Linked DNA regions of Saccharomyces cerevisiae S288C. The gene in region 2 interacts genetically with the main gene of each other region. Each region holds a gene or a part of one and is shown on either strand. Other genes may lie near its edges. The genes, in order: MUB1, FRA1 and MDL1.

What was found.
Region 1: mutations in FRA1 (region 2) and MUB1 together harm fitness more than expected from each alone (negative genetic interaction), as found in Saccharomyces cerevisiae (2 studies listed by BioGRID).
Region 3: mutations in FRA1 (region 2) and MDL1 together harm fitness more than expected from each alone (negative genetic interaction), as found in Saccharomyces cerevisiae (2 studies listed by BioGRID).

What each region holds. Positions count from the first base shown.
Region 1 is NC_001145.3:464,579-468,336, forward strand, and holds MUB1 (MYND-type zinc finger protein MUB1), read left to right. Parts: upstream 1-1,721; coding exon 1,722-3,584; downstream 3,585-3,758. Other genes in the region: YMR099C (glucose-6-phosphate 1-epimerase), read right to left, coding at 1-249. UniProt on the Saccharomyces cerevisiae protein: Involved in the determination of the onset of polarized growth. Required for the ubiquitin-dependent degradation of RPN4. Cooperates with UBR2 to transfer ubiquitin from RAD6 to RPN4.
Region 2 is NC_001144.5:79,373-83,130, reverse strand, and holds the start of FRA1 (aminopeptidase P), read right to left. Parts: upstream 1,671-3,758; coding exon 1-1,670. Other genes in the region: RRT7 (Rrt7p), read left to right, coding at 2,434-2,775; mannose-ethanolamine phosphotransferase GPI13, read left to right, coding at 2,926-3,758. UniProt on the Saccharomyces cerevisiae protein: Involved in the regulation of the iron regulon in responss to decreased mitochondrial iron-sulfur cluster synthesis.
Region 3 is NC_001144.5:526,276-530,033, reverse strand, and holds the start of MDL1 (ATP-binding cassette permease MDL1), read right to left. Parts: upstream 1,735-3,758; coding exon 1-1,734. Other genes in the region: SKG3 (Skg3p), read right to left, coding at 2,089-3,758. UniProt on the Saccharomyces cerevisiae protein: Mediates export of peptides with molecular masses of 2100 to 600 daltons generated upon proteolysis of mitochondrial inner membrane proteins.

The DNA.
Region 1 (3,758 bases), on a different chromosome or scaffold from region 2:
ACCATGTTGAGGTAATTTACTCAAATGTTCATCGGTGCTATTTTTCCCGAATACAGGAAAGACCAAAGGTATACCACCTCTCACAGGTTTGCTACCATCCAATTTAGCAGCAGTAGACAACCACAACTGTTCTTCAGATTTCAATTTCCAAGAATAAACTGTAGCACCGTACTTTAGAATATGAACGCTGGTGGTCTCATCAGCTGGATGAGTCAAAACAACTTCTTTATCAGTTTCTTTGATAGGCATGGCTTTGTGTTTTAATCTTTCTTGGTTCAAGTTTTACCAAAGGCTTATAATGAACCTCAGAATCACCTCTTTATTCATTTCTAGGGACCTACTAAGTTTTCTTTCGGCGTGAAAAATAAAAGGCGCATTGGTGACCCCATTTGCGATACCTTTTTATGGAAAGACAGCTTGAAGAAAGACCTTGTTATCATTGACTGCGTCTAGCGAACGAGGACATCTACACACTATTTCTTCTGCTGCAATGATTGATGCCGTTTAGATGAATGGTCGGGACGTAACTTATGTTTTAAGAAGAAGGCACTTTTCCTGGTGCAATAGATGAATCTCGGTTTCAAGTTAACTATATAAATATGGGGTTGGCATTATATGTCATGCTTTATTATAATTAGGCATATAAAACTACATGGTTATGAAAGGCGCTGGCAGTAAAAGGGTTGTTTGTCAATGGCAAGAATTAATCATTCTCGCATTGAAATATATGTAGATCGAGGTGAACTGTTAGATGGTCCATCAGACATTTATTATTTTGACTTATGTATTTCCCTCTCAATTTTGTTATCAGTAATCGAGTCATGTGTACTTTAAAGTTCATATTCTCACGTTTTTCGCAAGATATTAGCCGCCAATAGCAACTCCGAATAATAAGAGCTATATAAAGGCCGTTGAAGCCCACGGAAAGAGAAAGAAAACTAATAGTTATTACAATATAGACCGTTGGTTTTTTCTTTCCCTCCTGGAGCAGCTGCGTATAGTTACTACCTAAGAAGTGGGCTAGAAGTTGGCTAGAAGTGGGCTACTTAATATATATCTTTGGATACATAGAAAGGAACCAGGAAAAAGGAAAATTATTTAGATGGCTTCCATAAGTTTATGATGGTTCAAACGGCAAAAAGCCTTTTGACTATTTTTCTTGGTTGAACTATCTTCTTATTAGGCCTACTACAACAATGCATCGAGCTAGGATAACAACTAGAATACTTTGGTTATGTATTGTATGGGTGTTCAGTGGCAAAATTTGAGAGTTGGGTTATTGATGGTCGGCCTATACAAACGAAAGACCTAGAGCAGCTCACAAGGAAGAAAGTGCTGGACAAACTTCCCTACCTGAAGAGAAAAATATCCGTTTTTTATATAGTTTCTGTAAGTGTGCACAGTGACTTCCTCATTAGAGCGATATAGATAATTTGAGACTTTATTTATTTTTTATTTTTGTTGGTTCTCATATTCAACCTTCCATTTATCTAAGTTGAACCATTAAACATTCCCTTTTTTACTTTGCTAATTTCATCATACCCATTGATCAACTATAAGTGAAACTTGGGAATCTTCCATTATACAAAGGTGAGGTCCCTATTTGTTGCATTTTTCAATTCATTTCCCTGGGAGTTTTTGTTTGTTTTTGCTATATTAACATATCATAACAGCGTATAGAACGTAATTTGAAATATTCAAAACAAAGAAAAGGTAAAGAAATGAGAGACTCTAATCATCGATCATTAACGTCGAACAAGCCTATAGTAACAATAACATCTACTGTCTATGACCGAAGGGCATTGGATATCAACTCTAGTATTCCGTTAATAAACTCCCTAAACTACTTAACATATCTAACCTCTAATTCATCAAAAGTTAGGGAAACGGTAGCTAACGACGGTGCTCTCGAAAGATTAGTCTCAATATTGAGGAGTTGTCATTTAAGTTTGTTTGAGTTGCTGGATTTGGATTTAGAAAATTTTAATGAGCACGAAAACATAAAGGATCTATGGAAGGAGAAAAGACTAGCACTATGCGCTTGGAAATGGACTTTAACATTTCAGTGCTTAGTATTGACAGGTACTAGAGGGACAGAACAAATTCGTAAAAAAGTGGTAATGTCTGGGGTCTTATCTGTGCTGGTCACAGTATTGGATAACTATTTACTATATCATAAAAATTACGACTTCATCAAAGATCAAACAATGACCTTTGACTTCAAAGGGATAACCACGGAGACAATGTATAAATTCATGAGAAAAGATGAGAATGAAACATATCAGCAGTATATAGAGTTCATTACAGGTCAGGATAAATTGAAGTTGTCAACTGACAAAAATTTTCTAAACGAACGATTAGTGGCACCGTCTATGACAATTCCAACTGATTTTAGTGATATATGGGGCCGGTTTGCAGACCTAGCTAGCAATTTTGAACCTGACCAGGAAAGACACGACGACGACATTGATATTGATAGTGAAGTAGAAAGTGAAAATTTTGATGCACATAAGAATTTCTTTTCGCAACCAGACATTAATAGACCTACAATTTCCACTCCACGTGAATTTTTTCTCGGAAGAATTGTCCCCAAACAAGACGACGTTATATGGTCGCTTCAGTTATTAGCTTTTGTTTCGAAGTATACATATATGAAATCAACCCTTCAAAATGTTGAGCTGGTTGAATCCCTATCGTTCAGAAGTATGGCTTACAAAATTAAACAGAGAATCTCAGAAGAGAATGACTTAGAAGAACAAGAAAGAGACGTAACTGTAAAATTGTCTTCATTATATCCTTATTTATCGAAAAATCCTGAAAACAATTCCAAAGTTAAGGCACTAGATACTAGCAAAATGGATCCATTTTTCAAAGAATTAGAAGAACTCTCAAACAGATGTCAACAAGAAGAACAAAATGAAATATGTAATAACCACTGTCCCGTTCTTAATTTGTTTGAGCGCTACCGTGTACCGAAACCTAGCGACGACAATGCCTATGGCAAAGACAAGGAAAGAATTAATTTAAGGAAGAAAATATCTGATAACTTTGAAAGGCGCTGGAGCTACGATAAAATGAAAAAGGAATTAACAAATATTGTTTACAAAAACAAGGTACTAACAAATGTTGTAAACATCTTCCCCTTAGTCGAAAAATATACAGTGAGCGCAGAAAATACACATGATGTTATATATTGGAGTTCTGTCATCATGAGAAATTCATGTCGAAAAAATGAGATCTTAGGTGTGCGTCAGTGTGCCAATTTTTCGTGCGGAAAATGGGAAGATTTTCCAAGACAATTTGCAAAATGTCGTCGATGCAAAAGAACGAAATATTGCTCACGAAAGTGTCAATTAAAAGCATGGGGATATCATAGGTATTGGTGTCACGAAGTTGGATCAAGTCATATGAGATCCACGAATACTACCACAGGTGTCAATACCCCAAATGAGCCTAGTTCTTTAAATGCCACCGCTACTACAGCAGCTGATGTTTCGAATTCTACCAGTACGTTCACTCCTAATATATCCACCACCGTACCTGATGAAATAAGCAATAGGGATGAAAATAGCATACCTGAGTAAAGTACAAGGGGATTTCGATGACCTAGGTTTAACAAGATCATGAAATATTCATTAACGGAGTTTTTTGTTTTCGCTTTTTTTATTTTTTGTTCCTAATTTTTTTTTTTTTTACATTTTATTAGCTATACACTTGGCGCAAGGATATTTTATATACCGGATATAATAGATAATTAA
Region 2 (3,758 bases):
AAGAATTGCGAACCGGAGTCGCAAAGATATATCTTGGTAGGATCAATCATCGAAGAGTTCTCTACGGGCGGCGAATAATGTATGATGGCGGCGTTACTACCTGTGGAGGATATTGTTTCGAAGGAATTGCCCATGAAGTTCCTTTGGGTTTTCCTAATCTCGGTCAATTTTTCTGCGGCACGATATTCATCTATCAGTGCCTCGCGCCCCACTAATTGCTGCTCCAGCCATGCAAAATACTGCACTAAACATACTGCGTCTTTGACCTGCGCCTTGTGTGCGTTTTTTATTTCGATGTCATTCTTGATAGATTTCAAAACATCGATGGGTGAGTGAATTATCGCAAAGTTTTGTGCAGTCATTTTTTTAGCTATTGCACCGTTAGCGTTGGTTGAGGTGTTCAAACAACGAACCATCTGCCACGATGCACTATCAGGAATCAAAAATTCATGCTCCGCAGAAGAAGCCTGCGAAGTTATCTTTGTTAAATGTTCCCATATCTGTTCGTAAGGTCTGACTTCAATACCGTTTATCTTAAAATATTCCGATATGTCATCATTGAAGGGGTTATTGGTGAAAAGAATGGTTTCGTCTTCGTTAATAGCCACGTAGGAGAAAAAAACTGGATTATAGTCAATGTCGGATCCACGCAAGTTCAACAACCAACAAATTTCATCCAACGCAACTACTATGAAAGTATTCCTACCGGTCGTCGCAGAGGAAGCCTTATCATTCAGCTTTTTCAGTAACTTTTCCTTCTTGTCTTTGAATTCTTCACCATGAAACTCGTATTTTAACAGTAGTAAATCGTTACAAGGCCTTTCAGGTAGAGTTTCAAAATCAGGCCAAATACTGTCAACTAAGTTTTCCTCCACGGGAACCAGCTCCACTTTACCCTTTGCGTCATATTTAGTGTCAATCATTTTTCTAAAAGAAACATAGTCGTTGAAAGTGATAAGTTTTGGGTCAATACCTATCTTCAACACCATTCCCTCTTTATTGCCAAGTCCCTTGGCCATTTCCAAAGCTTCTCTGACACACCATTCTTGCCAAGTGATTGGGTCTTCGTTTTGCCTCAAAAGTGTCCAATTATAATCTAGTTCTTGTCTAGCTTGATTGAAATATCTTCCATCAGTACTCAAAATGGATTTCCCATCCGGATGGTCATCGTTGAAATTTAACAAGTCTCTGGTGATACAGGCTACACCGGCCGATCCGGAAAACCCTGAAATGAAGGCGCGCCTTTGATCTCGCAATGATACATATTCGGACTGATGTTCGTCACAACTGGGCACAATATAACAACACAAATCGTGTTTCTTCATCTCCTGACGCAACTTCAACAATCTATCAGTAGTGTTAACTTCCCTGTTAACAGCGCATAGAGAGTCACATGAGTAAACAGACCCATTTCCAGCACTGCTACCTCCGCCAGCGCCCTTCAACTCGTTGAGAAGCATGCTGGAGGACCTCCTTGAATTTTCTAACTGTCTTAAAAATAGAGAGGCTCTACGACCTTGCCTAGACAGTAAGCCTGGAGAACACGTACAATCCGCACATGGCCTAAACGGTCTGGGGCTGTGTGATGCCGATGTTCCTCTCATGTGCGTGCCAGGTACATGGGAAATCGAGTGAGCCCTGCCGTCACTGGTGGATGGTTTCGAAGTCATATGAAGATTTTGTTTGTAATTATTGGTTTCGCTCTGTTGAGGTCTCCGTTTTTTTTTTATTCTTTTTTTTTTTAGCTATGCAGTCTTTTTGCCAGTGCTTCCTGCCTTTCCTGTATTTGTAAATATTGCACCTATTAAGACTAAACTGACTCAGTTTTTGTATGTCGCTTCCTTCTTGTTCCATCCCTCATTCGAAGTATTTCTGAAAAAAGAAAACGTAGAAGAAAATTCGGGAAAATGGGGTGCGATTTTTAGGGGTCACCCGGGGATATACCTTCGGGTAACACCAGAAGTCGTCAAAAACAAAACAAAATTAAACTAAACTCTGGCGGCTAAAAGATAATCATAATGCACATAGGGAAAGCTTTCTACCATATTTGAACACTTTAACGGTTAGTTGAAATAATAAGAAATAATTATATGTTTATTTTTACGTGGGTTATAAAGACGGGTAAATTATCTTCGTTATTACTCATGAAAACCTACAAGTAAGCGGCTCAATGGCATTTCGTGGCAGATAATCTTCAGCTATCATTATTATTTTTGAGAGGATGGTTTTTAGGAGCAGTTTGAGGAATAAACAAGAGCTTAATGTACCGTTATACATTTTTAAAAAGCTGTCTTTTTTATTGGGTTCACAGCTCTCATTTTTTTCCATGCAAAATCATTTTTTTAGCCGCCGATGCTTCAAAATGGGTTTAAGATATTTATTGTTTAAATGTTTCTGCATCTGGATTCACTGAAAAAAATTTAGACGCCTAACATGTATTTTGCATTTAAAGGATTATGCGGGAGAAGATTTCTGCCCATTGCCTCTTTTCTTACTATATTGAATAGAATATTATTCCAATACTGGCTTTTTTACAATTCATTAAAAGAGGAAAAGACATTTCAGAAAATTTTCTTCTCTATGAACCTTAAATGTAGGAAAAAAAAGGAACCAAACCACATCATTTACTCTCAACCGCCTTTCTTGTTGGGGTTCATGGTACAATTGCAAAGTTGTGTCAAGTTGTTGCCACTCTATCTTTTGTTTTTGTTACAGGGTAATGGCGCACATTATGCAAGCGCGATGACGAGCAAGGTACTTTCTTTTTTCCTTTAACATTTTGTTGTCCACCGGAAAATAAAAAAAAACAAATAAATGGGTAAGATCAAAAAAGGAATAGAAGCATATGTTTTAAGGGCAACGCCGAATCGTCAAAGAACGGGAGGAAGATCAATACATTAAGTGGAAAAAAAAAGCTCCCGTAATATGGATGAAAAGACAATTAAAAAGTCGATTCTTTCATCTTCCAATGATGAAAAAATAATATACAAATCGCGAATAAAGAAATTTCAAAAGAATCATAAATTTTATATTATTCTATTGGTTTTCATCGCCATTTTACAATTCATATCAATAGCTTTTTTCACTCGGGGATTCTTACTGTCAAGACACGTTCTTGATAATATTTCCTCACAAAACGAAACGAGTAAGTTACCTCCTAGGTTCAACAAGGCGGTGATTTTGGTTATTGACGCTTTGAGATTTGATTTCGCTATTCCTGTAAACGAATCCCACTCTAATTACAACTTGAACTATCATAATAATATATTATCATTGTATGATTCTTTTGCAAGCGATAAGGATGCATCTTCCCTATTGTTGAAGTTCATTGCCGACCCACCAACCACTACTTTACAAAGACTCAAGGGTCTCACAACAGGGTCCTTACCGACTTTCATTGATGCCGGGTCTAACTTCGATGGAACAGTAATCGAAGAGGATAACTTTCTTAAACAGCTCCATTTGGCAAATAAGACTGTCAAATTTGCCGGAGATGATACATGGATGGCTCTGTTCCATCCGTTCCTTTCCAACGATAGTTTCCCACTAGAATCACTCAATGTGTGGGACTTAGATACTGTCGATAACGGTGTTATGGATTACTTCCATGATCATTTACAGCAGGACAAGGAATGGGACGTCATGATTGGACACATGCTAGGTATTGACCATGTGGGCCACAAATATGGCCCCGACCATTTTACTATGAGGGAAAAACAAATTCAAGTAGATCAATTTATCGATTGGATACTAAAATC
Region 3 (3,758 bases), 450 kb from region 2:
TTGACCACCGGACAATTGCGCGCCTCTAGCACCAACCATAGTCTGCAATCCATCTGGAAAATTGGCCAAAAATTTTGTGCAATTAGCTTTTCCAATAGCACGTCTAATACGATCATCCTGCTCCGCAATTTCAGGCGGAATGCAGTAGAGGATATTGTCCAGAATAGTCCCATTGAAAAGTAGTGGTTCTTGTTGCACGTATCCTATTAGTCTTCGATACTTCCTCAAGTTGAAATTTCTGATGTCTTCATCACCAAATTCGATCGATCCTGAGTTCACATCGTAGTACCTGAGCAACAAAGACGCAATTGTTGATTTGCCGCTTCCTGATGGACCGACAGCGCAAACGTGTTCACCAGGCTTGATAGTAATATTCAAATCCTTGAAAATCTGGTGTTTGGGCCGAGTGGGATAAGTGAATGACACGTTTTTGAAAACGATGGGTTTTTGGGCTAATGACACAGGATCCTTTCCAATAGTCGGACGAATCAATGGCTTACGGTCATTTAATTCAAAAACCCTGGCAGCCGCACCAGCACCTTTCATAAGTTCTGAATAGAAGCTCGATAAACCAAATAATGAACTTCCGGTATACACGGCATACATCATGAAACTAGATAATTCACCGACAGTCATTGAACCACTTTGAATCATGCTTGTTCCAACCAATAATAACGACAGCATTGCAGTGTTGCCAACTAGCCCAGTACTTCCGAAGAATAAACCGGAAGTAACCGCTTCCTTCAGACCAATATGAAATACATTTCTAACCTCTTTTGCATAGCGGCGAACCTCGTTTTTTTCACCACCATATGCTTGAATTGTCCTAGTAGCATTTAATTGCTCTTCTGCCACTTTTGTTAACCCACCTACTGAGGTTTGTAACTGTCTTGATAGGTTTCGTATTTTCCTACCATATATCAGTGCCATAGCACCTAAAGGAGGGGCTAAAATCATCATTACGCAAGTCAATTTCCACGAGAGGAAGCTCATCATGCCAAAACCGACAAACCCTTGAATAATTGCCCTTGTTCCATCAGAGACGTTTTGTGTGACCGATTTGGCCACTATAGATGCATCAGATGATAATCTTGAGATCAAATCACCGACACGATTAGTATCTAAAAATGTGGCATCTTGATCTAATGCAGCTTTCATTGTTCTCGTTCTTAATCTTGCGACCAGTCTCTCACCGGTGACCTTTAAAATGATGATTCTGCTTGCATTAGCAACTGCTCCAATTATAAATACTGCTCCTAATGCTGTGAAAAATTGCTTCTTCGTAAAACCATATAACTTATTGCTTTTTGAGCCCTCTTCATCTTCGCCGTCACTTTCGGAAGCCAAGTCTAATAATTTACCGATAACGGAAGGTACAGCCATACTAACTGAACTTGAAATGAGGATTAAAAGGAGGGCAAGACCAATGTACTTGGATTCCGGTTTAGATAAGACGAATAGCCGTTTAATGTCTTTAAACCCCGAGGATTTTGAATTTGCATTGGACAACTTTAAAGTGGGCTTGGTGGACTTCTTTCCTTGCGCAATGTCTGATTGTAATCGAATCGACCGCAACAAAAAGTGCTTTCTATGTGGAATAATCAAATTAATTTCCGCTTTTTGGTACATGGGAGGTTTGAACAATGACTTGGTTGAATATAGTGCACTTGCTGATGCGAATTGACTTCGCAACAACTTTGGACCTTTACAAAGACGTATCATTCTTACAATCATTGGAGCCCTTCCTCTTCTTTAACTTAGTAAAATTTCAATGATCTGCTTCTCATGTAAGTACCCACGTCTGCTTAGTTGAATCTAGTTGCATGTTGGGCAATACTGAATACGTAACATATATACAAAGCATTTGTGATTCTGAAGTCTCGGCTCGATGCGCCTAAACGAAACGCGACGCCAGTAATATAATACCTGTTAATGAAGATTTGTTTAGCTTAAAAGCAAAGGTAAAGAGATAAATAAGGGTATAGAGGTATATTATAGTCGTATTAAAAAAATAATACATTTATGGGAAGTTATATAAAACTACTGAATTGTAAAAAAAAAAAAAAGAAAAGATGAAATATAAATGAATCAGCTGGAATATGGGTTGGTTGATGTGCTATTGGGAGGCATAAATTGAGAAAATCCACTTTGTGCAGTAAGCGGATTTGTGCGGTTAGTGGTATTTATATGGAGGCTGGGACGGCCATCTGGTACATGGTGCTGTGTTTGCGGTATTGGAGATCTATCATTTATTGGTAACTTATTATTCAAATATCTCATATTTTGAGGCTGTTGTTGCAGTTGCGGCGATGGATGGAATGTATTTTGATTGTTACCACTTCCATAGGTATTGTTTCTGAAGGAAAGTGATTGGTTTTGGCGCTGTTGCGACGAATGAAACCGATGTTGCGAAGATTGGAAAGAATACATTGATGAGTTTCCACCTTGTTGCATAGGCTGGACGGTCAGCGGACCCGTTCTTATCTTACCTAACGGGCGACCAACCGGGTATGGTGCTTGAGGCTGCGAGCTATTGGCTGAAGAATTTCTGTAACCAAATGACGAAGTTTGTGGTCCTTTCACATGAAGTGGTTGAGATTGTTGAGGTTTGTTTATTTGATCACCAGAGAAATCTTCCCTATCCTGATAGTTTCCTCCATTCGAAGTAAGCTGGTTTAAGTTTGTAAATAAAGAAGAATGTGGGATCTTGTCATTTCTGTCACTGGCAGAAAGGGTTTCAGTTACTGTTCGGTTGGTTTGCCCATTGCTATAATTACTGGATGCTGCATCCTGATTATCTGAAAAGTCAAACTCATCCGTAGTGTACCTACTTTCTGTTTCCAACATTTGGTTTTGTTCCATATAATCTGGATCAAATACGTTTTCCTCCCCAAAATCCGGCACACGTTGTTCTTCATTGAGATTGACCGATGAACTGTTATTGATATTCAAGTTCAGGTCCGTAACAAAAGAACTGTTTTCTGCTGTGTCACTTAAAGCTTCTGAAGAAATATTTGCCATTCCCATATTGCTAATCTTTTGAGATAACTCTTCAAACTCTTTCAAAGATCCCAGGTCCTCATTTTTTGAACGTCTACTATCTTCTACCCTCAAAGGCGAAGAAAGGGAAGTATTTATCGTACTTTTCGACTCTCTGACGTTACCTATTTCAAATGTCTTGCTTTCAGCGGATGTACCTACGTATCTCTCATAGGGGCTTCTGTTTTCATTTTTTGACCGATCTTTAACTTCCAATTTTTGAGGTTTAGGGCTTGAATTAGCCTCCGATTTACCAAACGGAGATGTGGAATATTTGTCGTAAAGGGCGGATAATTCGGCTGCATTGGCGAGGTGAATATGTTTGTCTTCTGGTGTCGTAGAGAATTCGTTAGCAGATTTCGCTTCAACGTCTTCCATATTTTCCAAATTTGAATCAGTGATTTTGAGTTTTAATCCTGAACCAAAGCTTCTCTCTGAATTTTCATGGTTGAGCATTCCTGATGTCATTGGGGTGGTAAAAGTATCTTTGAAGTTAGTAGTGACACTGGACTGCGCCGACACAGAGTCATTGATTTTTGAAGAATTATCAGTCACAAATAATTCAGTTTGTTTTACTGAGGTAGCATGTGAGTTTACGGAAGCAGAAGCGGAATTAATATCATCGGTCGATGCTAATGTAGGAGACTTCATCTTAGATTTTTGCGGACTTTCCATTTGTCTTTCAGGGAGAGAATCGTACCCTTCAAATAATTCAGCTG